3 linked regions of the Oreochromis niloticus genome follow. The protein of the gene in region 1 purifies or fractionates together with the protein of each later gene. This does not show direct contact. Links are inferred from orthologs where the notes say so. Each region holds a gene or a part of one and is shown in the gene's direction. Other genes may lie near its edges.

What was found.
Region 2: the proteins of tctn2 (region 1) and tmem231 purify together in Homo sapiens (affinity purification with mass spectrometry; 3 studies listed by BioGRID and IntAct, counting the BioPlex papers as one, with this or other methods). This does not show direct contact. The link is inferred for Oreochromis niloticus from reciprocal best matches to the Homo sapiens genes TCTN2 and TMEM231.
Region 3: the proteins of tctn2 (region 1) and tectonic-3 purify together in Homo sapiens (affinity purification with mass spectrometry; 3 studies listed by BioGRID and IntAct, with this or other methods). This does not show direct contact. The link is inferred for Oreochromis niloticus from reciprocal best matches to the Homo sapiens genes TCTN2 and TCTN3.

Annotation. Positions count from the first base shown.
Region 1 is NC_031977.2:18,496,059-18,506,815, forward strand, and holds the start of tctn2 (tectonic-2), read left to right. Parts: upstream 1-6,307; 5' UTR 6,308-6,433; coding exon 6,434-6,521; intron 6,522-6,654; coding exon 6,655-6,768; intron 6,769-6,991; coding exon 6,992-7,062; intron 7,063-8,085; coding exon 8,086-8,287; intron 8,288-8,376; coding exon 8,377-8,477; intron 8,478-8,571; coding exon 8,572-8,771; intron 8,772-8,861; coding exon 8,862-8,982; intron 8,983-9,089; coding exon 9,090-9,243; intron 9,244-9,347; coding exon 9,348-9,431; intron 9,432-9,519; coding exon 9,520-9,642; intron 9,643-9,752; coding exon 9,753-9,827; intron 9,828-9,908; coding exon 9,909-10,007; intron 10,008-10,541; coding exon 10,542-10,659; intron 10,660-10,740; coding exon 10,741-10,757. Other genes in the region: si:ch211-225b11.4 (thyroid adenoma-associated protein homolog), read right to left, coding at 1-49, 136-290, 1,268-1,428, 1,511-1,620, 1,729-1,881, 2,172-2,892, 2,989-3,186, 3,546-3,682 and 9 more.
Region 2 is NC_031972.2:4,916,321-4,927,171, forward strand, and holds the start of tmem231 (transmembrane protein 231), read left to right. Parts: upstream 1-6,058; 5' UTR 6,059-6,348; coding exon 6,349-6,487; intron 6,488-7,414; coding exon 7,415-7,581; intron 7,582-10,134; coding exon 10,135-10,263; intron 10,264-10,851. Other genes in the region: gabarapl2 (gamma-aminobutyric acid receptor-associated protein-like 2), read right to left, coding at 330-363. UniProt on the Homo sapiens protein: Transmembrane component of the tectonic-like complex, a complex localized at the transition zone of primary cilia and acting as a barrier that prevents diffusion of transmembrane proteins between the cilia and plasma membranes.
Region 3 is NC_031973.2:16,459,339-16,469,397, forward strand, and holds the start of tectonic-3, read left to right. Parts: upstream 1-5,912; 5' UTR 5,913-6,154; coding exon 6,155-6,470; intron 6,471-6,639; coding exon 6,640-6,754; intron 6,755-6,831; coding exon 6,832-6,929; intron 6,930-7,006; coding exon 7,007-7,119; intron 7,120-7,197; coding exon 7,198-7,309; intron 7,310-8,540; coding exon 8,541-8,653; intron 8,654-8,747; coding exon 8,748-8,786; intron 8,787-8,966; coding exon 8,967-9,041; intron 9,042-9,125; coding exon 9,126-9,245; intron 9,246-9,320; coding exon 9,321-9,419; intron 9,420-9,503; coding exon 9,504-9,607; intron 9,608-9,754; coding exon 9,755-9,902; intron 9,903-10,059.

The DNA of each region.
Region 1 (10,757 bases):
ACACTGTTGGGTGTTTCAAGCAAACACCTCTGAAGAGCACTTAGAACACCTGCAACCCAATTCGTGACAGGATTTAAAGGACTGAAACTTTTTTGACGTTTATCTTAATTTATCTTAAATGTCTCTCAGTCTCACCATGTATAGGCTTTTCTCTGGCAGCAAGCATCATGTCTGCCTTGGCTGTTAGATAGTGCTCCTCGAGCTCCTTCACCAGGACTTTAACCATGCCGAAGGCCTTTGAGTTACTTTCCCTGCTGTTCAGCCTGCAGTCCTCACACTGGTGTTTTGATCTACAGTGACAAAAAAAAAATGGTAATTACTTTTCTTACTGGTGTCCCCAGAAAAAAAACGGCACAATTCATCACACCACAGTGAATCTAAATACTCCAATCCGAGTCCAAAATATACAAAGAACAAATGTCATCAGTGATGAAAGGGATTTTTAAGCAGTTTGTTCCAGTTTGATGTACATTACACGTTTTAATGCTAAAAACAAAGCTCTGTTTTTATGTAAAACATTGCATGTCTGGTTTCATAATACTGTCGCTCCTTAGTTCATCTTACCTGTGAATACAAAGAAGTATTTTCAAGCCACAAATGTTTCTTATATAAAAGACTAAACTGCACGCCAGACTGTCCTCCACTCTCATCCATGACAGCCTGGCATGCATCCTTTCTGCACTGTTCTTCAATGAGCAGTGGCAGCTCTGTTTTGAGTGAGCTGGCTCTTATTAAGGTCTTACTTTGAAGCATCACACCAAATAGCGTGAGGTGAGAACAAAGCTTCTGGTACGTCTGTAAATTAAAAAAATCACACGTTCTTCTAGTGGAAATGTCTTTTTATTTTAGCAACTATATTACTAATCTGAGTTAACCTTGATTTATGTTTGTTCACAGAGTTTGGGTGTTCAGTAACTTCCCCTGCCAAAGAAATCACACTACCTGTGAAGCATTTTCTAAAGTTCCTTTGTATTATCAGCAGGCAATGCAAATTGTTCCTTTGACTGCCAACTGCGTCTACACAATCAGGAGTTTATGTACCTACAGCACCATTTAAAGAATCTTATCATTTCAATTCTCCAAAAGCAAAAAAAGGTCGAACAATACTGTAGCATTGGGAATGCAGTATTAACATATTGCAGGGGACCAAAACACACCGCTGTCTAATAGACTGTAACTCTTAATTAATTAATAGCTTGTGCTTTGAATCCACATGCAAAAAAAAATTATTTAATAAGAACGACGGCCTTTAGAGAGCAGTTCTTACTTCTGAAGGAGGATCTTCATCATCAGTGCTCCCATTTGGGCCTCCTGCACCCGGGGACTGCGTAGAAGCTGTTTAGTTCTCGTATGCAGCACTTCAGTGAGATCATCTAGAAAACTGGGTGGAAAAAATCTCAACAATAACCCAGCAGCGAGCTCCCGAATCTGGGGGGGAAGAAATTCCTTATATTCAGCTTCGATTGATTTAAACTAATGAAAATTTCAAGGTAAGAAACGGCATCTCTACCTCATTTGTTGAATCTTCTAAACAGCTGAGAAGTACTAGCTGTTTCGTCCTGCAGAAGAAATCCCACTGTCCTCTCTGTCTGGCACAGCTAATGAGAGAACTCATATTTGCTGCAAACATGTTCCACAGATATCATTAAAAGCCAAAAAACAATAAAAAACAGGAGGGAAAAAAATCTGTTAAATGTAGAATATCAGCATCACATTTTCCAAACGTACCCGGAGGTTGTCCCTTCTTCCTGTCTGGGCTCCAGGTGTCTGTGCAGGTCTCCAGCACTGCTGAGACCAACAGCAATGCCGTCTTCTTTCTCTGATAACTGTGTCCTGGTGCCAGATAGGTGTATGGAAGCTGACTCAGCCATTCCACAAATCCTTTATGACATATGAAAAGAAGAAGTCACTCACCTACCCACTGTTCAAGCCTGTTTGGGACTGCCTATCAATCAGAAGAAGCTGGCTTAAAGGAACGATCGCCTTAAAGGGAGGAGAGTTTGTTTCATACAGAGGACCACCTGAGAGCCCTGGTGTAGGTTAAATGGGGATTATTTTGAATTGTGAAGCATGCAAAGCTACTCTAGTATAGTCTAAGGACAAAAATGGGGAACTAGAAAGGTCTCGTTCAAAAAAGACCACATATACAGTGTGATAAATGATTTTCTCACCTATTCCCTGATCCAAGAGATCCTGTGTCCTTTCCGAGTGAGAGGATTCTCCTTTCTTTTTGCCCTTCTGTCCTCTGACATATGCCAAACAGCCATCTCTGATCCGAATCAGAAACTTCTTCACTCCAGCCTGAAAATGTTGCCGAAATGGCGAGGAGTCGCAGTTTAGATTCTGAGGTATGAACGTTCTCATGATCGCCATCTCCTCTGGAGTTGGTGTGTCTTTGGTCTTTGGGCAGCAGCAGAGCAGACTGAGAGCAGCAAGTCGTACTTTGTCATCTGCAGATCCTAGAGCTAGCTGAAGGGTCTCTAGGGTGGAACTACCCTGAAGGGCCCAGGGGGAGTCTCCAGTTACAGCTCGATAAGAGCTCAAGATGCAGGCCCAGGCATGGAGGTGACCTGGGGTGTATGGGTCCAGGGAGGCCAGCATGTGGTCCACAGCAGAGGGGAACACCTGGAAGGTGCAGGGTAATAACTGCGTTGAACTGTTGTTCTGTAGAAGAGGCACTTCAGATGTCAGCGCCTCATGAAGGACAGATTGCCAACGCCGTGCCCAGTGACTCGCCAGATCCAGCTCCGCGTGTGAAGAAGAGCCATCACACAGCTCTTGCCTCTGCTGCTGGATCAGACTTTTATAAAGCTCTGACCCACACGGTGCCAGGTGATTGGTAGACAAGCACTTCAGGAGATGACTGGATATCTTAGGACACTGATCCAGCAGCTGAAGACAGGAAGGCAGAAAAAGTAAACAAAGACATGACCAATAATGACTAGCTCACAACATTAATTAACACTGTAACTACCCTTAAATTCTCACCTTGTCAGTACCCAGATACGGCAGCAAGGCGCACAGGCGATGATATTTAGCTTTGGCTTCCCAAGGTAGCTTCATTATTCGCTCGAGCAGAGTAAGATAAAGAGCCCTCTTTGTGTCACAGAACTGTTTACAGTCCATCTCATAGAGATCCAGCAGCTGAAAAAATGCACTGCGAGCAGTTTCTGACACCCCGTCCACCTGCAAACGCACAGTACGACAACCCTGGCTGTAATATGACTTTATTAACTGAGCAGCTAATATGACATCAACTAAGATGGAATATAAACAAATTTGATTCCAATTACAGTCTATTTTACGTCTGTGGTTTATCAGACATAAAAATATACAAGTACGTTGACTAATCTACAAACATGGTTACTAAAGAATTACAGAGGAGAGGAGTAGGATATGATAGGATATTTTTTCTGCTCCCCTTTCCTCTGCCTATCCTACTCCTCTCCTCTGTAATTGTTTCCATATTGCCAATTTTGTCTATCGAAGAGTTCCAATATTAAAAAACGTCCCACTTCACTTAATAATAGTAGTTCTGTTCTCACCGGGCTTTCTGCATTGGTCCAGATGAGGTGAATGAGCTGCTGCAGCAGAGTGCAGTTGTCAGGAAGAAGGCGAGCATGTGTCACCTTCCACAGATCAGCCAGATATTCTTTCACCTTCTTCAGCCATAAGTTTAACACTGCAACAACACCTCAGGTTTATGTGGGTGACAGAAGTGTTGCAAAGCATGAACAAACAGCTTAGACAGCTACTCACCTTCGAAGGCAAAGTAGTGACAATCCAGCTTCTCCTCGCACAAAGTAAACACCAGAGGAAACAAACCGTGCAGCAGCAGGCAATTCTAAAGAGAAAAGGTTGGTAATGAAAGCAAGCACAACCACAATGCATGCTCTGAGGTGGACTTCAGGTAGATTTACTTCTGGGGCGTCCTCATGTGAACTGAGCAAAATGTTTGGTCGACAGCAGGTCAGGAGACCTCTGCACACAGCCAGCCTGCCCACTCCGTCCTTCTCTGCAGGGTCGCACTGCACCCGGAGAACACCGACAGCCAGCAGCCAGGGCTCTGAGAAATAACAGGAAATAGGAGCTATTCAGCAACGAGTGTCCACACACTTACAGTGTGCTGTAGAATCTGTGATAACACATTGTGTGCATAGTTTCTGATCAATTTTTAGAAATAGTGCAACATATATTACAATACAAATACTGGTAGATTGTTCGCTTGGGTAAATATCTGTTCAAATTCCAGTGCTTGATTTGCTTCTACATTCATGTCACTGCTTCCATACCCAAGTGAGAGACCTGTAGCAGACTCCAGGCTGCAGCTCCTCCAGCTCCGTTCTCTGATGCTGTGTTGATCAGCATGGCCACAGCGGTGCCGGCAAGAAGACGAGTGTCTCTGTTGCAGCACTGCACAACAGGACACAGTCAGCATTAAGCTGTAACAGCTGACATTTATCCCGTAAGTGAGTGAGTGAGTGATTAATGAATTCTTTAGAAACCTGTCCAAGTATTATGGCCATAAGGGTCTGCAGGATCTTTTCCACTGCTGGGGCTCTCTGTTCCTCATCCCACACCAGAGGAGCAACTTCACTGGACAACAGCTGGAATATCTGCAAACACACCTGCAGAGATTACAGTTCTCCGGTCAGTGACAGAGATCACGCAGTAAGTTGATGATGATCCACACTGCTCCTCGCGTACCTTGACTGTAATGTAGCACAGCGGTCCATCTCTCAGGGATTCTTGCTGCAGTGCGACAGGGAGTAACTCAGACACTTTGTTCAACATGGACATGTACGACTCTCTCCACACCTCACGGCCAACAGTGCTGTCTTCCAGGAACATACAAGCTGCAGACAGTGTGTATATATACACACAAGAACAACAGTTAAACATGTAAGTTAAAGGTGGCAACTTACTAAAAATAAATGTAAGTTTAAATTTGTTCTGACCTCTTTGCAAATCCTCAAAACACAAAATCTGAAATGAAGACAAGGTCAAAGTTAGCTGCAGTCCTTTTATGGAAATGTGCGACAAAGCAAAGCAAAGTGAGGACTCTGTACCTGGTCACTGTGGACTACGGAGTGGAAACACTCACGGGTCTCTCTAAAAACAAGCTGGTGGTCCACCTTTGCTAAATGTTGCAACATCTGTGAAGGAATAAAATAAACGTGTAAATGTGCCTTTCTGTCTTTAAGCAGCGAACATCCGCATCTGACACAAAGTAAAGCCAACCTGGTCCACTTTGCGACAAGCTGTGGAGATGCCGACCATCTGCAGCTGCGTGGATATGAGCAGCCTGACGAGAAGTGTGAGATGGTCGTTTTCTAAACCAGACAGCTGTGCTTCAGAAAGTTGTCTCAGCAGCTGGACAGCTTCCTCCAAGCAGCGCTCCTTACATCTCTTCACGCCGCTCCTGTTCACGCAAGCGCACTTATTCATTCAAACTTTTCAGAACAGCATGCAGTGTTTTAGAAAACAGCTGTGTGGCTGAGGTGCAGCTGCTACCTGGAGGATTCAGACAGTTTCTGAAGAAACTGGCTCAGAGTCGGGCTGACGTTCTCAGCTGCTTCATTCTCGGAGATCACACAGTCCTGCAGACTTCTCAGCAGCTCTTCAAACCCCAGCATCATCATCCGATTCCACAGTACAGATGTGTACTGTTTTCAGACTCTCAACGAGCACGTTGGTTTACAAGTCACGTGACAAGACTCTTCTTCTACTTTTTTTTTAGAGCAGCTGTCATCGCAGACTTGCAGCCACATGCTGCCACCTAGAGGCCGAAGTGTTATTGTTGTTATCCATAGATTTACAAATTTAAAATGTACTGGTTTGCAAAAATAAAAACAAATAAACAATTAAACAACAACAAAACAACAACAAAAAACAAACAAACAGAAAAAATAGTGACAAATTTGTTTTTATTGGATTTTATGTGTAGTTTTGTTTTGTGACACACACTAGTGTGACACATCTTTAATAACTGTCCCTTTTGCTAAATATTATATATACTGTATATATATATATATACTGTGTATATACTATATATACTAAATGTTGATCTATATATTGTTAATATTTTAAGTGTTTCTAGTTGATTTTGTGATGTTACTGACGGACTTTTTAGTTCTCATTATTCTGGTACTTTGTATCCACAGAATCGTGGGATGTATTGGAGAAAAATAAAACCAATCAATCAATATAATTTAATATAATATTCTGTGATGCTTTTCTTCACCTGAGGCCAGTGAAGTTCTGAGCCTGTAAGTATAAACCACTCCTGACCAGATGATGTCGCTCTTCTTTATTTAACTGTTTCCGTCAAGCCAGACTCTCTCCGGTCTCGTTGTGGGCTGTGATTGGTTAAGGACGTTGCTAGGACATCACGAACAGTTTACAAATATGTCGACTTCCTGAGGCGAACCAAATGGCTAATGTGGTCGTATTATTATATTCTTCGTTCTTTACACGTGTTTTACTCTTCGCTTGCTTGGCTTACACTCAAAACATTGTCGGTAAGACCTTATATTTAATTTGCTTTAAAATAGCTGACGGTACCTTCGCAAAACCTACCTGAGAAACGAGCAGTTGCTAATTTTTTAGTGAATTTTTGTAGCCAATATGTGACGTATGTAACTGTTTTGAAAGTTTTCCAGCCTTCCTTTGTGATTACAACGGGACCAGTGGTCACTGCAGTTTTGCTGGGAAACACCTCGGGTATCTCTCTTAGCCTGAGGACAGTTTCTCCATCCAACACAACAGGTAAAAGCTCCAGGACACATATCCTCTTTGGTCCCCCCCCACATGGTCTGGCGGTGATATTGTTGTACTAGTTTAGACACGAAAAAATAAGTGTCTTTAGGTTAATTAGTTAACTGCATTTAAAAATTTCCAGCTTAGAAACTCGTAAAAATGCGAAGAATTTAGTAGTAGTAGTGTTAATTTTGGACGTATTTGGTTGTTGATGATGGTTTCCTTTTAACAGGAAACATTGGTTCTCCATCATGTGTAGCAGAAGAAACAAATTGGGTCCTCACTAGGGAGCAGGTGGGAAAGGTAAGAGACTTGTCCTGTCCTTTTTGTGTCATAAAATGGAAAAAAATACACACCAGAGTTGTTAGAAACATGACATTTATTTCAGATATTAATTAATAAATTGATCTGAGTTAAAAATGTAGATGTACAGTGAGGAGAGGATGATGTGGTGGCTCTCTCAAGCCAGCCTATAAAATTTCATTCAATAATTCCTAGGGATGCACCATCCCACCATTCATGAAAACGATCAACAAAACGCACTTAAAAAGAATATAAATGATGATTATAAGTTATATTTACTGTTTCAAAATGCTTTTAAGTTTGCTGTAGTTCAATTTACATCAGTAATGCCTCCTGTTGAATTAGGATCTTTATTTATTAATTTTTAATTATGTTCAGCTCTGATAAGTGATGAATGGAAGACCTAGAAATCTATAAATGAGGAGAATAAAAGGATTTTCACCAAATCACTCTTGATCAGAAAAATAAGAAGAGAAGAAATGTATTATATAGACTATACGTTTTTGTTTTCTTTCTTTAAAATTCAAACCAGTGAAGCGATATTGCATTTGCAATGAAGTGACATTTTCACTGGTGGTTCTTGTTTATATGACCTGCCTGTAAAAATAAGGTAAAGATACATTGGGGTTACACTCTAGTCCAAATTCTAGATAACAGTGTTTTAGGCATCCACTGTCGCACTGATAAAGTCTATTTTCCTGAGTCCTTATACGCTCATCTTCACTCTTTTCCTTGACCACACGAAGCTTTCCATAGTGATTAAGGAAAAGTGGTTAGGAAAAAGAGGTTGAAGGTAATTTTTTAGACTACTCAACTCCAACCTTTATCTGGTGTGGACAGTTAGCAGCCAGCTAAAGACTCTTGCACTAGCAAGCAAGGCTGGCAGGCACAGTGAACAGATGCAACAATGATGAAGTAAGACACAAGCACCTGAGTTAATTAAAACACACATTTAATTTGATCAAGTTGATCCTTGGACATACATTTTCTTCATGGTCTTATTTGTCTCATTTGGTGTCCCAGACTGCAGTTCAAGTTCATCTAAGACTGAATCAAAGTCTGCATTTATGTGGCAACAATGATGCAAACACAGACTGCTGTCAAAGAGCATTGTGCATCCTGGAAGCCCTTCAGGTGTCTGCCTGTGTGGACGGTACACCCCAGGCATCGCTGCTGATCCAGGCCAAGATACATGCCCTGTTGGTTCCTGCTAATCCTGGATCTGGTAATTCAAATGAAACTTGTTTCTCACTGTAATGTGCTTTCATTTAAAAGATTTTTTTCAAACAACAAAAAATGACGTCTCCATTTCAGATAATAAAACAGTTATTCCAAACCAAGTGTACCAGCCCCTGGGCCCTTGTCCTTGTGACTTGACATCTGGAGCGTGTGACATACTCTGCTGTTGTGACAAGGTAATATTTTTTAAAAGACGGGAGTGGATTTCAGACAAATATTTTCTTCTGTAGTGATCATCAAATGATTAATTTGTGATTTCCCCCTCAACAGGATTGTTCCAATGAAGATTTGAAGCTGTTCTCAACCCAGTGTCTGCCAGGGCCCTTTGGTGGGCAGGTCTCTCCTGCTTCAGATTACCAGTGTTCTGTGCAGTCCACAGAAAATTCCCCAGATTGGTTTCCATTTTTATGTGTCAACTCTCCCCCTGAAAACAACCCTTACCTTGGTCACTTTTACAAAGGAGGCACAATGTGAGAAAGGTTTAAATATATTTCAGTCTTGCAACTTACCAAGGAATTTCATGTGTCATGTTATCGTCATTTGTCTTTTCACCTGTCTAGTGCACCTAAGCCTGGTCCATCCTTCCAAAGTCCAGTTTTGTCAGCTCCAGTCCCAGTTGATGTTTATATTCAAGGAAATCCAATTTTCACATTAAATGGCCAATACTTCACTGTTCCTCAGGTTAGTGTTAGCGTGTATTTAATGCTGTTTTTATAGGATTGTTTACATGTAAGTATTCCAAAGCAGTGACAGCTAACACTTAATGTAACAACTGTTCTGTTCAACAGAAGGTCCTTGGACTGTGTGTAAACAATGCTCCTGTTGCATTTCTAAAAAATTTCAACTATGAGTGTACAACTCTGCTACTCTCCTGTCCAACTGGATATCCTCTACAGACACTATCAGGAAATCTGAGCATTAAAGTGAAGAATGGGAAAGGAGGTAGTTTTTAAATATAACAAATTATATAAAAGCTGTGAAGTGTTTTGAAGCTATCTGAATGTGAAGCTGTTTAAAAATGGTTTTTATTTATTCTTGTATTTCAGGTGACGTCATGGTGGATGTAATGGATGAAGTGGCTGCTGATACGAGTCCATTTATTTCCATAATAGATGCAGTTGCACCCACAGGTATCCACATTACATTACTGCATTACTAACATAACTCAAATGTTTAATTGACCTTAATGTTGACATGTTTTGGCATTTTTTTCAAAAGATGAGATGTTGGTTTGTGAAAATTTGACGTTAGCGCTGGACTACAAGTTCTACTGGAAAGAAAATGGCATCACAGACATCACGCTGACACGGACTATTGGGACTATCATTTTAAATAGTCGTGGTAAGTGCTATAACGCTTGGCTGTTGTTTAGCTCGACTAATGGTTCTGACTAATATTGTTTTATTTTCCCGTAGTTTTAACACATTTTTGGTATTCTCTTGTCTTAACAGCAACATTAACCACAAAGTATTCTGCCACATTTCTAAATGGAGAATTTTCTGGTGAGCCAAACTCGGGCAACCCAGGTAGGACCAAGATGAGGTTTTGTATAAAATAAAGTATTTACAGTACCTGGGAATAACATGTGTACACATTTTTAATGACAGGTTACCAGGTGGGAAGGCCTGTTATTGCTGGAATCGTGGAAGCTTTGGACAACAACACAAGCTTAATAAAAAGGACATCAGTTAATGTTTGGAAACCAGGTAAAACCCATAAAGATTGCTGATTAGTAGATGACTGCATGTAACCTAATATTGGACTACACACTGCCATATAAAAAATAAAGTTTTCACGGGACTCTGTGCATTTATGTGAAAATGCATGTATCTCATGATTCGGTAGCATGCAGAGCCATTTTTAGTAGCAAAAACTTGAAGTGATCATTTTCTTTATGACTTGGTCAGTCTTTCACATCATTGTGAAAGAATTTTAGTCCAGCCTTCTGGGCTTCGTTTATGCACCGCTCTCTTTAGGTCCTGTCACAGCATTTCAATCAGGGTGCGGTCTGGACTTTGAATGGTGCATTGCAGTTAATAAAAAGTATTTGATTAGGAGCCCCTGGGTGCTACTTACCCTCTTCATTACTATGGAACTATTAAGGGGGCACTTAGTTTTCCACAGGATTTCACAGAGTCCTGTGAAAACTTTATTTTTTACTTGACTGTACATTTCAGTCCAAGCAAGTTGACTTACATTGAAGATAACTAGTCATCTCCATTTTCTGATCTGGCCTCCAGTGAGTGATGGACTCTGTTCCACTGCTGGGATGAAACCGGTTCTGTTTGGAGAGAATTCAACATCAGGATGTCTGCTGCCTGTCAGCCGGCAAAATCTAACTCAGTGTAGTCTTCTGAGGTCAGTGGCTTTGCATGATTACATCTCTAATGTATATATGCAGATATATGTGTTATTTAATATAATTTCTTTCCTCTTTAGAGAGACTGTTACTAACC
Region 2 (10,851 bases), on another chromosome or scaffold:
ATTGTGGGGATTTTAAATTCATTTTGGTTAAGAAGTAACATGCATGCAACGGGAAAACACATTTCAGGGTAGGACTGATTTGATGCATCAGGGGTGTTGAAAGGTGAGCCCGATTTTGACAGCGGTCATCACACTTGCAAGAATAATGTTAGCATTAGTTGCTAGCCATGCAGCATCAGCCATCATGGATTTATATGCTGAGGCAAGCAATACATTTCTACACCTATATGGGATGAGATGGCAACAATGGATGCGGAGAGAAAGACACAGAACGGAGGGTGCGTGACATGACAAGATCTCTCGTTTCATAACAATCCAAACCCCTTTACCGAGGGAATGGTCCTCTTTAAACATCCATTTCATCTTTGCTGGATCCCCGCACTGAGGCGTGACGGCAGGGTCGAAAGGCGGGCTTCTGAATCTGCGGATAATGTCCAAAAATCCAGACAAAAGCGGTCAAAACAAAACGTCAACAACCCCGCTGAGCCAGGAGCTTTCAGCTGTCCGTCTATCAGGGAGGTGACGTCACTGTCTGACACAGGGGAGGTGCTGGTGGTGGTGGTGGTGCTGCCTTCAAGTGCTCCCGGTCCAGCTACGAACGGCAGGAAAGCTTCTAATGCAGGGGTGTCAAACAAAAGGTCCGGGGCCGGGCAAAGAGTGTAATCAGGCATATTAGGGGGCTTTGGAAAATGTGAAAAATGACAAATTTCGGACTTTTAGCTGTATTTTCATGCGTTTTACAGCTTTTCCCACCTCATAGCTATTCATAACAAAGTAATTAAGTAACAAATAAGCAATTAAATGATGCTCTACTAGAGCAATTTATTGATTTACAATAAGTCCACAGACAAAAAAAGAATTTAACAGCCAAAACATTCTGTTTTATAATTACAGAACAGTCTAGACCAGGGGTAGGCAACCTTTCTGTTGAGGAGTGCATCTAAAATTTCCTCAGAAGTCAATGTGCCATATGACTTGCATTAGCAATAAATTTAATAACGCTCTATATTAACAGTTACCAGTGTTGGGACTAACGCGTTATTAAGTAACGCGTTACAGTAACTACGTTATTATTGTGGTAACGAGCACGGTAACTAGTTATTATGCCAAAACCAGGAACGCGTTACTCGTTACTGGGATTTAGATAGGCTCGTTACTCGTTACTTCGTGTGGTGGATATCGCGGAGCTTCCACAGATTCAATAACAAGTGGTGGAAGCCAGCAGGTGGATGAAGGAAAAGGGAGGCAAGAGGAGAGACCCGAAGCGGCCGCCGGTCCGCGTGTCAGGTGAACTGAACTTCAGGTAAGAAGTTATGACCTGCAGTCTATCGGAGTCAGATATAAACCAAGTTTAGGTGGAGTTTATTTTCGGTATGCTGACATTTTCGTACTGCGTGCTAGCTAGCATGACGGAGTTTCTATACAGCTGTGTGGGTGCTATGTTACTGATGTTGAACTTTATTTTGTTCATATGGTTAATTATTAGAGTTGCCAACCGTCCCGTAAAAAACAGAATCGTCTCGTATTCAGAGAAAATATTACGCGTTTCGTACTGAGGTGAAAAGGAACACAGTTTGTCCCGGACTTCAGCTACAATGAAAAAGACACAAAGCTGAAGCTGCACAGCTGCCTCTTCTTCTCTCATTCTCTCCCGTTTCTACTTCAATCACGAAACTGATCAATGATCAGCTGATCGGCTTTTCTCTCTTGTTTATTTATCGCCCACTTTGCGCCAGAAAGAGGAAACCAGCGGATGTCGCGTTAAACAACAGCAGCACGTTTAAGCTTGATCAGCTGTTGTTAGAATTTATTTAATATTAATTTCTAGTATCAGCTGATGTTTGCTGGAGCCACAGCTGTAAAGCTGCTGGTCATGATATCGGTTTGGTTATCTGGTGAGAGGGAAACATGAAGATGAAACCAGGAGATGTCCTTACTGAATCATCAGAGCTGAACAGGTGATGGAGAAACAGGTTTACCTTTTAGGTGACATGAATGAGTTGAAGGGAAGTTATGAACTGTTTCTGAGAGACAAATAACACCAGCATCCTTTTCTACGTAGCTGACAGCTGGTAACTGTGGAGGGGCGGGTCTAGCAAAGTGTTGCCAGGGGGCCAGGTAGGGCATTAACAGGGAAAGGGGGGCACAAGGAAATACTTTTCTTTATTATTCTCATTTAAAATGTCTCGCTTTTAAAAAAATAATTATCTGAGTCTTACAACAAACAATTGATAGATTGATACATATATACCATCAGAACAGTGTACATCACTGTCACAACAGCGTTTGTTTTCATTCAAAGGCTTTATGATTTTTCCTATAATGGTGGGCCGGTCTCTAGTCAAAATGCCTGGGACGATTTTTTTGTCCCAGTCCAGGTCTGTATGCAGCTCATCTGCAGTCTGGTGTTACCTACATCTTCCTATTCAGAAGGCAGAATTTCCAAGTTCTGAGTACAATCAAAAGCACCACGACTGCAGTTTTTGTGTTGGATGTAAAAAGCAGGCTAGAATCATGGCGGCGGTCAACGACGGTCCAGGCGTGGGATTTCTCTGGTGGAAATGTGCACATTATTTTTTCCTTTCTATTGGTAGGTGGCACAGTGCACTTGTGGCAAGTAAGCAAGCTAGAAGACTGAAGCAACACATTAACAAGAGAATTCTGAGTAAAACCAAAGTTACTTTCCCTAGTAACTAGTTACTTTGAAAGTAACGAGTAACTTGAAGTAACTGAGTTACTTTTTTAGAGAAGTAACTAGTAATGTAACTAAGTTACTAATTTAAAGTAACTTACCCAACACTGACAGTTACACACTATATAGAACAACTTTATAGAATTATATCTGTTTGCAGATGTTGGCAGCTATCAGCTATTTTGAAACCAAAAAAAGACTCTTTTTATCCATAACAAGAACTCCATAAGAGTAAATGAACTGTACAACAGAAAACGCAAATGCTATTTATGGTCTCCTCACAACAATGATAAGAAAAATGAACTGGGCCAATATGGCATGTTTGTTAATACAGGGATACACATGTTAATGTGATCTCTGGTCTCCCACTCAGAGACACAGGTCTCCGAGTGTCCAGCATTCAGACGGCTACCCGAGGACACTCTTCATGTGAGAGAAAATCTGCTCACACAGATATGTAGAGCCAAATACTGTCAATAAGGCCTCTGCAATGTTCTCAAGACAGTTAAACTTGTCAGGTAGTGATGTCCAGCAGGTGAAAATGCAAGCTCCATGAACACACACAGCTGTGGATTCCAGCTGTGTCTGTATTTCTGCAAACTTTGACCCCACAGAGTCGAGGTTTTTATTTCAATCAGCTGCATTTTGATGTCGCATTACCTGGCATTAACTCAGCCAGTTAATGTGAGACAAATCCAGCTGCTCATTAAAGCTTTCTGGTTTGATCAGAAAAAAAAACATTGGTCCATACACCTGAAAGTCCCAAAAACGCATTGTGAATTCTGTCTCGAGTCTACGGATGTATCTGTGTATTTCCGCTGTGCTGATGCTGCACTGAGCGGGCAGCTCCTGAAGCATTTGAAGTGTCGGAATGTGGAAATTTCAACATCGCTTGAAAAAACTGCCAGCTAGCAACGTCCCTCTCACCGGTAGGCTAAGTTATTTTTAGCCAATTACAAGTTGAATCTGGTAGTTGGGGTTGTTAGCTAAGATACCATCATTAAGAAGCGGCACAATTAATGTGTCTATGCGAGCTAATTTGTGATGTGCGCCACTGGCCCGGCCATTTATTTTTTTAATGCACCTTCTCAGATTAATTCACTGCGTGTCGTGCCCAGGGCTGGACTGGGACAAAAAATCGGCCCGGGCATTTTGACTAGAGACCGGCCCACCAGGTATTATAGGAAAAGCCATAAAGCCTTTGAATGAAAACAAACGCTTTTGTGACAGTGATGTACAGTCTTGTTGGTATATGTATGATTTCTATACATTCTATACATCTGATAAAAACTTTGGTTGTAAGATTCAGATAATTATTTATTAAAAGCGAGACATTTTAAATGTGAATAAGAAAGAAAAGTATTTCTTTGTGCCCCCCTTTCCCTGTTAATGCCCTACCTGGCCCCCCTGCCAAAGCTTTGCTAGACCCGCCCCTGCACAGTTACCAGCTGTCAGCTACTTAGAAAAGGATCCTGGTGTTATTTGTCTCTCAGAAACAGTTCATAACTTCCCTTCAACTCATTCATGTCACCTAAAAGGTAAACCTGTTTCTCCATCACCTGTTCAGCTCTGATGATTCAGTAAGGACATCTCCTGGTTTCATCTTCATGTTTCCCTCTCACCACATATCCAAACCGATATCATGACCAGCAGCTTTTACAGCTGTGGCTCCAGCAAACATCAGCTGATACTAGAAATTAATATTAAATAAATTCGAACAACAGCTGATCAAGCTTAAACGTACCGCTGTTGTTTAGCGCGAAATCCGCTGGTTTCCTCTTTCTGGCGCAAAGTGGGCGATAAACAAACAAGAGAGAAAAGCCGATCAGCTGATCATTGATCAGTTTCATGATTGAAGTAGCAACAGGAGAGAGAGGGGAGAGAATGAGAGAAGAAGAGGCAGCTGACAGCGTAAAGACAGAAACACTCCGGCTTTGTGTCTTTTTCATCCTAGCTGAAGTCCGGGACAAACTGTGTTCCTTTTCAGCTGAATACGAGACGATTCCGTTTTTTAGGGGAAAGTTGGCAACTCTACTAACCTTATGAATAAAATAAAGTTCACTATCAGTAACATCATAGCACACACCCAGCTGTATAGAAAATCCGTCATGCTAGCTAGTACGCAGTACGAGTTATTGTAACTGACTGTAAAAAGTCAGCACAACGAAAATAAACTCCACCTAAACTTGTTTTATATCTGACCCAGATAGACTGCAGGTCATAACTTCTTACCTGAAGTTAAGTTCACCTGACACTCGGTCTCTCCTCCTCCTGCCTCCCCTTTCCCTCATCCACCCGCTGGCCTCTGTGGAAGCTCCGCCATAGCCACCACCAAACAACTGACTTATTTTTATACATCGGCCAGCATCTGGCCAATCCACCACCTTTCATTGTTTCATTGTACAAGAAAAAAAAAAAAAATCATCGGCCCGGGCAAATGCCCGATATACCTGATGGCCAGTCCAGCTATGGTCGTGCCAACAGTCAACCCTTCGCGCCCAGGGTTGCTGACCCCTGGTCTAGACAGTGAGATAGCAAAATTGTTTCTGTAATTTTACACATTAATTTTTTACAATTTAAGCCCAGAGTCATTAAGACTGGTGTTACTTTTTCACTAACTACATTAGAAAAACGTTATCATGTAACTATTTGGGCTATAAATGTGCAGTTAAACCTCTGGTCAATGACAATAAGCAGAGTTTCACTTGTCTGGCCCACCTATCTGTATGTGGGCCACAATGTAAAATTTGAGTTTGACATCCGTGTTAATGCATAATGAACCCATCCAACCATCCATAAATAAAAATAAAATAAATAATAATAATAGTAACAAACACAAAATTATTTTTAATTTTGATTAATTTTCTATTGAGTATATTTATAATTATTTACATATCTTGTAGCAACTAATGTCTTGTTTTAAGATGAGAACTACCACACAAAATTTCGTTATGTGACTGCATAGTGAAAAATAAAGAATATCTGGATTGGCATGCAAAACAGTCTTAAAGGGATGCAAAATGAACAGAAAGTAATAAAAATAAATAAATAACAACAGACATGTTCGCAGACATGTATTTGCGTCTGTTTTCAGTTCGCAACTTAAAACAGACGCAAAAGTGGCCTGAAACAGATGCAAATTGACCAGATGCAAAACGACCGAGACGCAAAGAGACCCAAAACAACGTGAAAGAAAAACTAAAAGATAATCAGAGACCCAAAGTATCCTCAAATTACAAGAAATAAATGCAAAGTAAGCACAAAAACATGGAATCCCTGCATGCAAAGCTTTTCTGCTTCTGTTTTTTTTTTCTGTTTTGTGTGACCTCTGCTAAGTGTGCTCACCGTGCTGCTATCGCGTGAATGCAGCACAAACGCGAACACTGGCAGCCATGGCAACCGCCAGACGCTAAGCTAGGAAGGAACATGGCGCGGTACTTGGTGCTAACATAAATAGCACGTTAATTCACTGTGTTTTTTGACCAATGCCCTACTAGAGTCACTTCATTACGGAAGCGGTTGGATGGCTAAGGGATAATTTATGCTTCCTTAGCATTTTATTGTCGGTTTGCCCACGCTGGTCCTCCGAGGGTTTTTCCGTCGGTTAGCATCTTTGCTATCTGGAAGATTGAGCTGTTTATACCTCCAGCACACTTATGGCTTCCTATGAGGTGTACTCTCACCCGGCTTTGATTCGGTACAAAACCAGCGTGTGCACGAAAGCCACGCTGTTCCTGGTTGTGGTTCTGTGCCTCACCTACATCCCGCCTCTGCTGGTTGCTTACAGGAGCCAAGGTACATTTACGGTCCAGAAACTCTACATGCGCTCTAAAAACTACACCCTTTAGCAGCCACGCATGCCACGCTAATTGAAGCAAAATATTTGTTTGCACGTCACTCATGGAATAGCACCAGGGTTGCGCCACGCAATGGGATCTCCATAGTTGTAAATAATGTTAGCTGGGAAGGCAAAATCCTGTGGCACTTCCTCTATTCTCCCAAGTCTGCTAGGTATCAAAGCATGGCATAAGCCATGAAGTTTTAAATTAAACTGATAAAACTCCAGATTGAAGCTTTTATACACGTATTAAGATTCATTCATCAGACTTCATTTATCTCCGTCAGGAATCACAGGCTCCTGGTTTCTCTTATTGCTCTTGTATGACTGTGAAACATTAAAACGCTTAATTCATGTCTGCTTTAAAAAGAAAACACACAGAAAGCATTGCGCGTGGTTGTTTGATTGCATCACAGGCAGTAATTATTTTCATGTTTATTATTACAACTGATAAACAAGTGGTTGGTGGTGTCCATGTGTAAAATGACAACAGAGTTGAAAACAGAATTCGTCAGTAACATCATCAAGCTGCTTCTGTTTTCTAAATGAGAATAATTTAAGAAGGGTAATTTATTATTATTTTCACTGACTTTGAATACAGCATGGTTGTTGGAGCCAGACCGGTTGATTTGGGTGTTTCAGAAACTGCTGATTTACTGGAGTTTAGTGGGATTTCCCCACACAATAATCTCAACTCCAGTCTCTAGACCTCCACGGAGTGGTTCACCAATTTATTTATTTTTTTGAAATGGGTGTTAGTCTGATTTATTTTGCATATGTTTGTAATTACACCAAGTAGGTAGTTGTAGAAAACTGAACAGTTTGAGTCATAATAAGTGATACAAATATGTGCTCGCTGTTTTCAAACTTGTTTTTAATTTTAGGTTTTTGGATAAAAAGGAGCACTTATGAGGAACAGCCAGTTGTGAGATTCCAGTACCAGACTCTGCTTGTTGCAGCAACCAGTACTCAGGGAGAATATGTCGCCTGGAGCACCTTCCCCCAACTTAACAACATGCTAGGAGCCAACCTCCGGATTCCTGCAGTCACTGTAAGAATGTGTTCATAGCACCCTACTCAAATCAGTTCTCTGGTAACAAACTACAGCAGAATTGATAGAAGATATAGAATAATCCTTTAATTGTCCTACAAGGGGAAATTTGGGTGTAACAGCAGCAAGAAAGACACATACAAATAAACAGTACACAAGACACAGAACAGAAACATACACAATTTTTACATATTTACATCAAGTTGAATGGTTACCAAAAACAGAGTACTGTACAGTTATTAAATTAAATTAAATTAAATTAAATACAGATAAGAGGCAAACCCTGGTTATAGTGTGAATCGGTTGATAAAATAGTGCAAGTTACTTCGCTGATGTAAACCTCTATGTTTGTTGGGAGCAGTTTTGATTGTACAGTCTGACAGCTGCAGGGAGGAAAGACCTGCGGACCATGATATTTAGGTAATGAACTTAAGCACTGTGTTCACAGTTGATTGGTTAGCAGGTGACTGGATTGGATTAGATGAGATTAGACAGGTGATTAGTGGTAATGCTAAAATCATAATTTAGAAGTAAGAAACTTTGCCGTGGCATGAGCTTCATTTTCGTGCTCATTCTGTGTATGTGTGAATTGTGCTTTTCACTTTAATAAGTGTGCAGAAAATACCCTAAAAGGTTATTCTGAAGAAAAAAGCAGAAACAGCAGAAATGTAACCAGTTAGTTAGTGCGTCAGTGTTTTTCATTAGTAGCACCCAAGCATAGGGCTGCTCAATTAATCGAATTTTAATCTCGATTACGATCTGGGCTTTCAACGATCATTAAAAATGACTGAGCCGATTATTAGCACCTCCCTCGTGCTTTACTCTTGCGCTGCTCCGTGTGGCAAATCGAGCGCACCTCTCTGCGTTTTGAACACGCGTCACAACAATTAAGAGGACCCGAGGGAAGCTCTGAAAGCTAAGCAGAAGTTATTTGGAGAGGAGAGGATAACGGCTGCTGAAGAAAGAATGCCGTTGGTTGAAAAGAGAGATAAAACGACTTCAGTGGTGTGGAAACATTATGGGTTCGCGGAGTCAGACGTGGATCAAATATTATGCAGTATTTTGAAGTTCACTAAACATAGATGTTTACATTTTTCTTTTATTTTTTATATTGCAAACATTTCCACTGTAATCAGTATTTGCACACTATTTTATACTATTTTTTGACAATCTTTAAAGCCATTATTCAATACATTGTTATTGTTAAGTAAATATCGTCCAATAATCGAGATCTCAATTTCAGTGAAAATAATTGTGATTATCTCCAAAAGTTGAATCTGTTCATCTGGACGTAGCGTTTTGTGGGAGAAACGTTTCGTCACTCATCCAAGTGACTTCTTCAGTCTCAGCTGACTGCAGGTTTCCCTAAACCTTATAAACAGTACATTTGCATAATGACTGAAACCAGCCCACTGAAGGAACAATGGGCTGTGAGGTCAGTTCCTTAATCATAATTATGCAAATACCCATGACCATTGATCAACAATCACTGACCAAAACCCACTGATCAAAGAACACTGATCAATGGCCATGAGTACCATTCACAGAGGGAAAATTGTGATTATCATTTTTGCCATAATCGAGCAGCCCTACCCAAGCAGCAACTTATGGGGCTGAAAAATGAAGTTAAGGCCAAAGTGCCAAAAACATGCAGTTCCACTGATTCCCTTTTGGGGCCGTCTCCAAGAGTATGGCAGTCTCCATAGACTCCCATGTTAAAATGTTCATGGAAGCGGTTTGCTAAACAGGCTCGTGACCATTAAATGATAACTTAGCATGCCACCTTGATGGGTTTTAAGGTGTTTATGTTATTATTTAGTACTGTGGGTATTTTTTGTCAATGTCACAAGGTTGCTGTTGAATTTCATTTATGTGGCTGAGCAGCTAGCTTGCTTTGAATTAGGAGGCAGCTTTGTTAAGGCGAGTGTGTCCAGTGAAGCAATGTTTTTCAGGTGAGCCAGTTGAATGGAAAGTTTGCTCGGTTATCTCAGGATGGTGGTGCATGAGATGCAGCTTCTTGTTCATTGTAATTATTCAATTTATTTAATGCCATATCAATGTTTGGTGTCCCCATGTCGATACAACACCGCCACAAAAAATCAGTCAGTATAGAAGAGCTGCAGATTTGGCATTTATTTTTTTGTTTTTTCAGCTCCACAGCGAATTGTAATAAATGTACAAAAACATTAGGTAAGTCTGTACTATACCATCACAAATCTACTGACGGGCCTCACATGGGTATTACCTTGATTTTCTTATTTCATACAATAATTAATCCGTTGTCAATTATGTTATATTTCCTTGTAGTCCAAGTGAGCATATTCACATTGCTTTTGCTGCTCAGTTTGAGTTTACTGTCATCGAAAAGCTGGAAAACTCCCAAATTCTGGGTTTATTAAGCAGCAAGCCCTGATTTAAAACAGTGCCCGTTCCTGCATAATAAACATCATGTTTGTTACTGTTTATACTAAACAGTGAACAGTGGACAGACATGATTTTTTACTTTTAATAACAGTAAAGTCTGCTTTGTTCTTCTGTGACTGCACTTTGCAGGTGAGAGAAGAGGACCAGAACCAGGATGGGAAACTGGACCTCCTGGTCTTTCAGCTGCAGCTTCCTCTGAAGCCCAATGAGCAGGTGTACAGCATTCAGCTGCTGCTCACCTTCAGCTACCAGCTCTTTGTATGTATCCCACAGCATTACCCACTCGCACAGACGCTCTATGAATCTGTTCAGCTAGTTAGTGCAAATTAAAGGTTGCACATTGAGCCATAAATAACATGGTTCACCACTAAAGATGCCCCAAAAAGGCACCAACAGCAATAAGATGGCCTAGAGGTCCACGTTACTGACTTAAGATAGTTTAGGTTTGACCTTTCCTCTGTAGGACTTTAATCAGACAAGCCTTCCTACAAACTTTAAACCTGAGAAGGAGCCATAAAAAGTTTATTTCTTTCACTTATGAAACTGATGTTATGAAACGTGATAAAGCATGTGAGGTAATGGTGGGGCTGGAGCTGAGAGGCACAGCTCACCACATGTGATTTTTATCAGTTTTAGTAGCTTTGGGGATTTTTTATAGCCTTTTAAGCAGTTCTAAATGTCAATATTTCTCTCACTCTGCCTGCTAAAAATAGAATTCAAGCAACAATGAGAGGGCCTCTGCTACATGTTTACCAAATTTGACTCATGTAGCTCAGCTATGTGTCTGTAGTACTTTATAATAGCCAGCATCGGTGGCGCTCTAGAGCCATTTTGAAATGCTAAATC
Region 3 (10,059 bases), on another chromosome or scaffold:
AACATTTAACTTCACAGTTAAATGTGTAACTCTGTGTAAAACACCATGACCACTTGCATTTCTTGGTCTTTTAACATAGTTGTGTTGATTGATTTGCACTTTTTAATCACAATTTTAAAAAACAACCACTTTTTAATCACGATCAGAAAATTTGTGGCCAATCTTTACAAAAGCAAATTTGGACTTTGACCCTTCAAAGTAAACAAAATGCTGACCTAATTCCAGTAAAAGAGTGCATGGCAGAGATCTCATTTCATTTTTTATTTTCTTGCAAAGAAGAAAAATGTTCTCGTCTAGACACGCTGCTGGAGATTTATATGGACTTACATTCATGTTATCTATTCAGCCAGATGAAAGTGTTTAGACTTTACATTCCAGGATTTCCAGAGTTAATATCCTGCCAGCGAAAGAAACAATATTTTCACTGTAAATAAGTTGAACTGTCTCGATGGGGTTCAAGAATGTTTTTATAATAACTATCTGAGAAAGTTGAGAAATTTGTAACTTTGAAACACCCTGAACTGCACAGCTTCCTAACAATTTCTGTCCATCCTATTTATATTAGAAGTTCTAGTGTCTGTCTATACATGGAGGAAACATCAGATAAGTTACAGTTCCTGTATACCGTGCATCAGTACTATTGCACAAACTTACAGTACTTTGCAAAAGTCTTGAGTTAGTCTTCATTTTCACTTATATTTTTAGGAAAATTGAAAATGGGTGCAGCAGTTAGTTATTTAAAAACTGTGCAAAAATTCATTACAACGAAATACATAAGACAAAAACAGAGTCTGAAAGCTAATATTGGGTGTGACCGCCTTTATTTCTCAACAAAGCCTGAACTCTCTCAGGCAGCTTTTTGTGATTTCTTATAGTCTTCAGGAATAGTTCTCCAGGCTTCTTGAAGAACATTCAAAGCTCTTCTTTGGATGTTGGCTGACTTCTGTTCTGTCAAGATAATCCCACACTGCCTCAATAATGTCGAGGTCTGGGTTCTGGAGGAATAAGGAATCATTTTGTTTTATCCCTGTCAAACTGTCATCATTGGCATTTTTCATAAATTCAGCAAAGAAATGTGTTTTTTAATGGAAAATTGATGGAACACTTATATCTTCATTAATAGTACCCTTCCTGACTTGAATACAACTAGTTTTTCTGCTTTACCACAACCAGTTATGCTTGAGGTGGATTTGAATCCTCCTCTGGACACAGTACAACGATCCGTGCCTGCCTCCAGTGTGCACATAAATTTGTCTTTGGGCAGAAACATAGTGATAAGAGCAGAAATACCCAATAGCAGTGTAGTAGTATTAGTAGTATAAAATTCATTTATAATTATTCATTATTTAAAGTTTTGATGCGAGGATTCATTGAAAAAACAGGAAATAACCCTGTTTACGATTAAGAAATGTTATGTGCTCATTCTTGTTTTCACAGTGTGCAATTTCATATCATATAATTTCACATTACTATCAAAATGCTCATTTTCACATCAGATTTTCAGTTTCCTGATCTTTCAATCTGCACAATATAACAAAATTATATTACTTAACAAACTGTTATAAGTGGTGGCCAGTAATTTTCATCAGTAGTACCAATCATGACAGAAGGATATCGTTTCCATGTCTTAAAGAAGAAGCCAATGCTGAAGTGCATTAACCCTGGATTCTGTGTAATGACCAGCAGGGGGCGTCTGCTCTGGTTCAAACAGGGGTGTCAAACATGTTGTTGCAGCGCAGCAGGCGTGTTTGAGGTGTGGACCCAAAAGCAGACATGGGAGAAAAAAACTTAATCTTAACAGAATGCGAGCTGTTTATTGAGGCTGATATTCAAAGCAAAAAGAAGACAAGGTGAGTTGGGGAAAAACAAAACTAAAACTGGGCTAAACTAAAACTAAATATGAAAACTATGACATAGAACGTGTCATGAAAAATAAAAGCGAGACTTGCAGTGACATCACATGAGATAAGCAGACAACCCAACTAAACAGAAGGAAAATGAGAACTTAAATGCACAGAAGGATAATGAGGAAAGTGGCAACACCTGGGGAAACACAGCTGACACAAATTACATGATGCCACATGGGAAGCAAAACTAAACACACTGAACATGGAAACAAGACTTTCAAAATAAAACAGGAAATATGGACAGATATGAACTGGGACACGCAAACTTGAAACAAGAGACAGAGAGGGGGGGCAAGAGAGAAAGAGCGACACAGAGGAGAGAGACACATGGGGAACCTACACAGACAAGGAGATAACACATGACAAACAGAAAAAGACACATAAACAAGGAGACATGGACGATAACATGAACTAGACTAAACCTAAACTAAGACAAACTAATAATTACCTCAGAACTTGACATTATCTCATAAGTAATCAAAAAATACCAAATAACTCAAAATGCTGGATCACAGACCCAGCCCCCTGACAATGTTGTTGTTATAGCTCTGTTTCTTTTTTAGTTGGGAGGGTGAATGTCCCCCTTTCATTTATAACTGTCTGATCAGTTAAATTCTAAGTCCTTTTACCAGGTAAGGTAAGCAGGTTTTGTCCTTTGACTGCTCAGTAACCCACATTCTGCATAAATTATTAACAGCAGCAAGTCTTAATAAGCTGACTCACATCTGACAGATGCAGCTCACTAAATTTGGTTGTGTTTCTGGCTTCTGGAGACAGTGGATGCTCTAGTCATGAAAAATAAAGAGAACTTGTTTCTAGTTTTAAGAATTTCTTCAGTCAATCATACTAAATATTTTTACTTAACATGAAAAACAGAGCCAAGCACAAACAGGTTTTATACGAAGGCTTTAGAGCTGGCATGGACTCTGTACTGAGACCGTGGAGCATGCTTTTAGCACCTTATCTGAAACATTTATTCCTGTTCAGCCTGGAAAGCATGTTGGGCTGTGTTTACTGATATTTCTATTCCATTTCTAAGGGATATCCTTTTATGATTTTCAGCTTCAGAAAATTATTTCATAAAAAATATCCCTACATATACACATAAAGCCTGTAACATACATGCTTTAAGCATTCCAACATGCAGTTCTGCAGATAAAGGACAAAATGTTTTTCACCGTCTTAGATCCAGATGTAGGCTGAGTAAGTAAAACAACAGCTGTGTTAAATCTGTGCAACTCCCCACATTCACATCTGGGGAATCGCTCGTGTTTGCTTCTCTTGGCTGCCTGCTGCGCAGCTCCATCAGAGCAGGTATGTATTTCTGGAAAGGAAACAGCAGTCAAATGAGATTTCATTAATAAATCAAAAGCCTGAAACCATTAAAGATTAAAACAGAGGGTAATAGTGAATAAACTTGAGATTGGGGCTGTGCTTTTTAGAGGCTCTGCATTTCAGATCTGCACAGTAGCTGAAGTGTGCTGTGGTGCAGGTGAGCACGCCACTGACCTTGTGCTCTGCTAATCCTGCATACGGTCGACCCCACTGACAGGCAATAATAAGTCAAGGCTAAGTGATTGCTCATTTTCTGCTGAGATTTGCATGGTAGTTTTCAGTTGACCTGCCTAAAATCGAACTAAAAGAAGTTATTTTAATTTTATATCTTTCCATAAAAGCTTCATTCCATTGTATTCCACGTGGATTTCCAAAATTGCTGGCAGATGGAGGCCATTTTGACGGAAAAAGGACTCCCTGCATAAATGAAAAGTAGCAAAATACATGGTGGTTCACAAGGAGATGCATTATTAACAAAAAGTTCTTTGTGTTCTTGATGTCTCAGAGAAAAATTACAGCACAGCAAGAGATGACTGAACAAAGAAGGAGTCAGAGCAGAGTCGGGTTTTCAAAATATTACTATTCAATAAGTAGTAGAAGACAGCAGTACAGATGTGTCATTTTGTTCTACTCTATTTTGCAGTGAGAAAAGTCCAACGTGGAGTTAAACGTTTACATTTTATGCACTTTGGCATAGTTTTTAATGATCTGAGCTTATCTGAGCGAGGCTAATGCGAGCTGATTGTTTTTTATCTTGTGCACACAAATATTTCCTTGAACAACTTATTATCTTGTGTGTGGTAATTATTTATCATGTGCACACAAGATAATGTATTACACATGACATCACCAGGGTTGGTCTCATGGTAATTGTGGGCTTTTAATGATTTCTTTGAACTGATTGTACAGCATGCATCTTAAATGATTTTAAAAAACTAGAATTGAGTGCACATGTTTGAATTTATTTGGGATTTTCTTTAATCCAAGGGTCAGAATTGTACATACAGGCTCAAATATATACATACACATCCACTAATATTTGGTTAATGTCCTTTATCAAGTTACACCTTAACCAGACACTGTTTGTAGCTATCAGCTGGCATCTGGTATAATTCAGACTGAATGTCTGACCGTTCTTCTTGGCAGAATTAATAGTTTATTGAAATCAGTGGCCCTGCTGGCAAGTTTGTGCAATGCACCAGTATCACTGGCAGCAAAACAGCCCAAGAGCATGATGCTACTACCACATAAATACAAAAATGGTCACTGCTGTAGACTAATCCATTAAGGGATAGTTTATTGGTAGCTCTGTGTTTATGGGTCTTATATATAAGAAGAAGTGGCCTGCTGACAAAACAGCTATCTTTGTGTAATCATGCAGTGAAAAAAGTGCATAAGCATGCAAATGTCTTTAAGTTGATGATGAGGGACCACTGAGTTTTCTCATATAAAACACAGGAAGATGTGAACTCTGAAGCAGTTCTTGCTTATATCCATCCAGTGCAGATTTTACACTGCAAGAGATCCACACATTAACCTAACATAAAGAGGGGGGGAAAAAACTTATGTGTGACCCATGAGGTTGTCCTGTTGGTTCTCTTCTGTTCGGGTTGTGCCATTTTATTTCTTTGACTGAAATTGGTGGGTGGAGCTGACCTGGCTCACATTTCACTACACCTGTGCAGGCTCTGCTTGGCTCAGAGGGACAAGAGCAGCTATCAGATCCTCTAACACTGTCTTTAACAGTGGCTGGCAGAGCTTTTATGATCTGCTTTTGTTCCATATGCACACACTCATACATTTACCATCCACTCAGACATACTGACAGTCACATAGTTTCTTTATTTATATAATTTCTTTATTTAGTTGAAATACATTGTGAAGACTATGTGTGGTCTCCCCTCATATTTTTTGCAGGATTAAAATTAAAATAATCTCCAGTTGCAATAATAAAGTGGTACAGAAATTAATCCCCCAAAATTGATTGTGTTCATCTGGATGTAGCGTTTTTAGCGGGAGAAACATTTAGTCAGTCAACAAGGCTGGCGTTCTTAGACTGTGACATTTCCATCAGTAATGGGGGACATTTGAAAGTTGATATGTACAGTAAACCTACGCATACGGATCAGTTTTTAAGGTTTGACTCTCATCATCCACTGGAGCACAAACTGGGTGTCATCAGGATGCTACAACACAGAGCGAACACAGATGCCCAAAGACACAGCGGCCAGGGAAGCAAAAGAACATCATATCAAGAAGGCCCTGAGTAAATGTACTTATCCCATGTGGTTATCTTAGTTTCAGTATTAGTTTTAGTTTCTTTGATGGGAGGTATTTGAGAGAGGTGAGATTATAGAACTCCAAAACAGCTATTATAATATAAAAACTTTACTCAGATAAACATACGCCCCAATGTGTCTTCATGCTGCATGTGTCAATCATTACACCGTTACACGTGTATTCTGTGTTGGTTAAATTATTAAAAACAGTTATTAACAAATATTCTAAGTCTAGTTTTTAATAATATCTCAATCAAAAAATATTCTTCTTTCAGATTTAGTTATAGTTTTCAGTTTGATTTTAGTTAACTATGTTAACCTTGCTTGTTTACTGATTGTTGTGAATTCATTAACCTGAAATGACCGCGTTTTCTCTTCTACGTGCTTTACGGTAATTCTCTCGTAGAAACGGAAGTCTCAATGAGAACTTCCTTAGTTACAAGACGCTTGCACCCCGATTATGTGTCGATTTTTAGCTTGTACCCTTCTTGCTACGTTTTCTAACGTGTTTAACTCATAAAGACAAATTTTATTTTATCTTTAATTTAATTTTACTGTGACGCGAGACACCGGAGAAACTCTTCGGGTAAAGTGCGCATATTCCCGCTCCTTTTTCATGGCTCTTTAGAGGAAATGTCTTCCATCCAGTGGTGTTTTTTACCCCTTATATTGACGGTCATATGTGGACGTCTGGCACACGGAGCTACAGACCCAGTGGGGACTTCCTCCATCAGTGCCACCCCCGCTAATGGGGAGCCGTTCAGCTCTGCCACCCCTGCTCCGAGCGGTACGGAGGCCGTGAACTCCACTGGTGTCAACACCACGGAGGTCCCTACCCTTGCCACCGTGAGCTCCACGGTAAACACGACACTGTCCGCGACCGAAGCGCCCACTGCGGCCACCGAGAGTCCAACTGCAACCACCGTCCAGCCCACGTTGTCTCCACAGGGTAAATTACACCTCCAGCTACATCGTTTGTAGGGCTGATTAAGTCTTTTTGTTGCTTCGATCAGGCTTCCCGCTAGTTACTCAAGCTAGACTTTGTGGATCTGACGGTGACACCACACCTAACATAAGTACTCCCAAGCATGTCCAACCTTTTTCCTGATGTTTTCCAGCGTGTCTCTGTGATTTAACTCCTGGTTTCTGTGACATCGGCTGCTGCTGTGACACAGCTGACTGTGGGCTCGCTAACTTGAGCGCTGTCTTCACTGGATGTCCGCAGAGAGCCGTGTGAGTGTTGGTCGTTAGCTCTATAACACGTGTGGTACACAGCTTCAACATTTAAAAGACCATTTTTTACTTTACAGATCAGGTGTTTGCGTTGAGAAATGGCTGATGTTCAGAGCCAATGTGGATTCGTCTCTTATCACAGTGACTGACTCTCTGTTTTGTGTCCAGCCTTCAGGTAAATGGCATCACTTTTTTTTTTTAATCACACGTAAGGTCAACATATATCATTATCGTTTTCCAACCTCCAAACAGATAACACGTCCCAGTTTTTCCCAGCCCAACCTCAGCATCCAGTGTTAGGGGACTCGTACCACTTCTCTCCACAGAAGACTCCAACTGTAGGACCCAGCAGAAGTTTTTACATGGTAAGTTTTACGCAGACTTAAATAATTAAAATAAACAAACTTTAGATATTTGAAATCATCACAACTGCATTTCTGTAGGTTGATGATGTCATCCAGACATATTTCCCCAACTCCTCTGTGCGGGGTCTCCTCCGTCAGCCATCTCCAGGACCGGCAGTGTCAGCTTTTTGCATCGACCGCAACCCTGCAAGTAAGATCACATAAAAAGTTAAATGTTGAACTGTTGAGTGGCAAAGTGCTGTTACACCGTTTTAAGTGCAGCCCTGCCATCTAGAGTTGCTTCTTCATATTTACTTTGGACAGTTTTGGGAGAATCAGTTTATGATATTTTCTACAGACGTCTTAGACACAGTAGCCCAACTCAGACGTGTGGGTTTGTGGCAGTATACATGACACCCTTTTATACTGGGGAATACAGGAGACATTTTTACCCATCATACTGCTGTGAAAAAGTCTCGAGCTGCCCCTCATTTCTTTATATTTTGCGAGGAAAATGGGGGGAAAAGGTGCAGGGATTTATTAAACCATGTGACAACCATATATAACAAATTTTGTACAATATTGAACACTTTTATTCTTCAGCACAGTCTGGACTGTCTTAGGCAAACTTCTTTAAGTAGTATTCAGGAATAGTTCTCCATGCTTCCTGAAGGACATCCAACAGTCCCTGAGTAGAGTAGCCTTTCCAGAAAAGTTAACACTCTGTAAAATGTGAATGAAAACAGAATGCAACAGTCCAGCTAAAGGAAAGTTAGAGAAAAGACTAAAAAAGTTGTGTAATGCTTCAAAAGAAATGCTTCAGCTTCTCACTGCTAATGAGATTAATTGGCAACAGGTCGGTTACAATTAACATCCCAGAGAAGCTGAGAGATGTAATCTCTCTAATATGTCCTTCGTCTGCTCCGGGGTTTCCTCTCAGTAGCACGTGCCCAAAACACCTCACCTAGGAGGAGGCCAGCAAGTATCCTTTAACTGACTCTTCTCTTAGCCCCTCCTGATCAAGGACCAATCTCCTCATTGTGTCCCAGGCTGAGCCCAAACACTGTTCAGAGGAAACGCCACAATATCATCCTTTCTGCTTGTTGCCATAGGTGACAGTAGGAATGTAGACTGATTTCACACTCAGCTCTCTTGTCACGACAACAGTCCGTACAGAGACACCACACCAATCTGTGTGCATGTGGGGGTACTCAGAGGAAAACTTGCACATGTGTTAAGGCTCCATCACTACTGAACAGTTGTTTACAGGTGTTAGAGTGATGTGTGCTGCCATCCAGGTGACGACTTTGTCGGGGAAAGGGCTTGCACACAACCACATTCTGCTCATTTTGTACTGTTGGTACACACATGCAGAATTATTACAACAACACACTGTTTCCTATGCCACATTTTATCCACCTTAATTTCTCCTCTTCTTGTAGAGTTCTTGAGGTCTGTGTCTCTGTCTTGTGCACGGATGGTGACTCCTCAGTCATGCATCACAGATCCAAGCCTCAGCGCCAACTCCTACTTCTCCGACCTGCATCTCATCAAGGTCAGCGAGTCCATTTGCACTAAATCCTTTTAAGTGCATGATTAGCTGTGAGACTCTCACCACAGATCGACTAATATCAGGTATTCTGTGACAGATCCCAAAAGCTGAGATGGCACCAGTGTCAGATTTTCTGGTAAGTCGTACATTACTGTTGTAAATGCGCTTTGATATTCCACTTAAAATCTCTAATACTTTGTCTATAGTACATATAGTACACTGGAAAGGCAAAAATAGGAGTTAATAGTTGTTGTCGTGCTAATATTTCACAGTTATTGATTATTCCTACAGGCTAATGTTTTCCTGACTGTTTTAGATCCCAGTGACCAACCTGTCAGTGTGGCCTTCACCAGCGCTGCGGAACAGCTCCTGTATTAATGCAGTGCAGAAGGTGACGAGTGCACAACTGTGTGGTGAACCACAAGTGTGTGACGAAACATTGAAGTTGACTCTGCTGTTTCTGCCTTTCCTGCAGGTGAAGTTTGTCATATTTTACACCGGCAGAGGGGAACTCACAAGCGCAACGGTTGACGTAACCCTAGCCGATGTGAATCAGAGTCAGCTGTTGCTCCAGACGCACTCTGTAGAGTTCCAGGTAGAGCCAAAAGAATTAAAAAAAACTCAATTTAAACACTTTAATGTGCCAAGTAATGTAGTTTTTCTCTTTCAGCTGACCAAAACAAGTCCCACTCCCGCAATACTGAAGCCTGCAGTCGGACTTAAAGTTGGATCTCCTCTCATCGGTCGCTTTTTAAAGGAAGCGATGCCTGTATCCTAACTACAATTTTAAGATTGTATCTTTTAATTTATCTGCCAAGCTTCTACGAAGTTTGGCTCCTTGACAGTGAGCCAGCTGACCTCACTGGGGGTGTCACAAAGTGGGACCTGTTCCCCTGATACAACCACGCGAGCACCCATCCTCTTCACGCACAACATCATCACCGGCTGCACCTTCAGGTGAGTCTGCATTATTTCTTTTTGCCTCTGTTGTCTGTGGTTCTAGTTATGTTACATTAGGACAAGTGGAGATGTCGCTAAAATAACAAACAACATCCTCCGCTTTTCTTTTCTTTTTTTTAAATTTCTTTCTCTCTGTGCTACAAGCTCTCCAGCCAACGACTGCTCAGAGCTGCGCTCGCAGATTTATGGGATCTTGCAGGGACTCGCTACTCCTGATGAGATCGCCATGAGCTCGGGCTCCCAGCCAGACTGGGCAAGAGTCATCACACAGGAGTGTCCCTTCAGCCTGCAGGTATAACCGAAATGTGACCCCCATACACCGTTACAGCTGTTCTGGTGTCTGCAGCAGCACCTAGTGTCGGTGCTTTGTATCTGCCCCCAGCCAGTCGCAGCAATTCAATTCAATTTTATTTATATAGCACCAAATCACAACAACAGCTGCCTCAGGA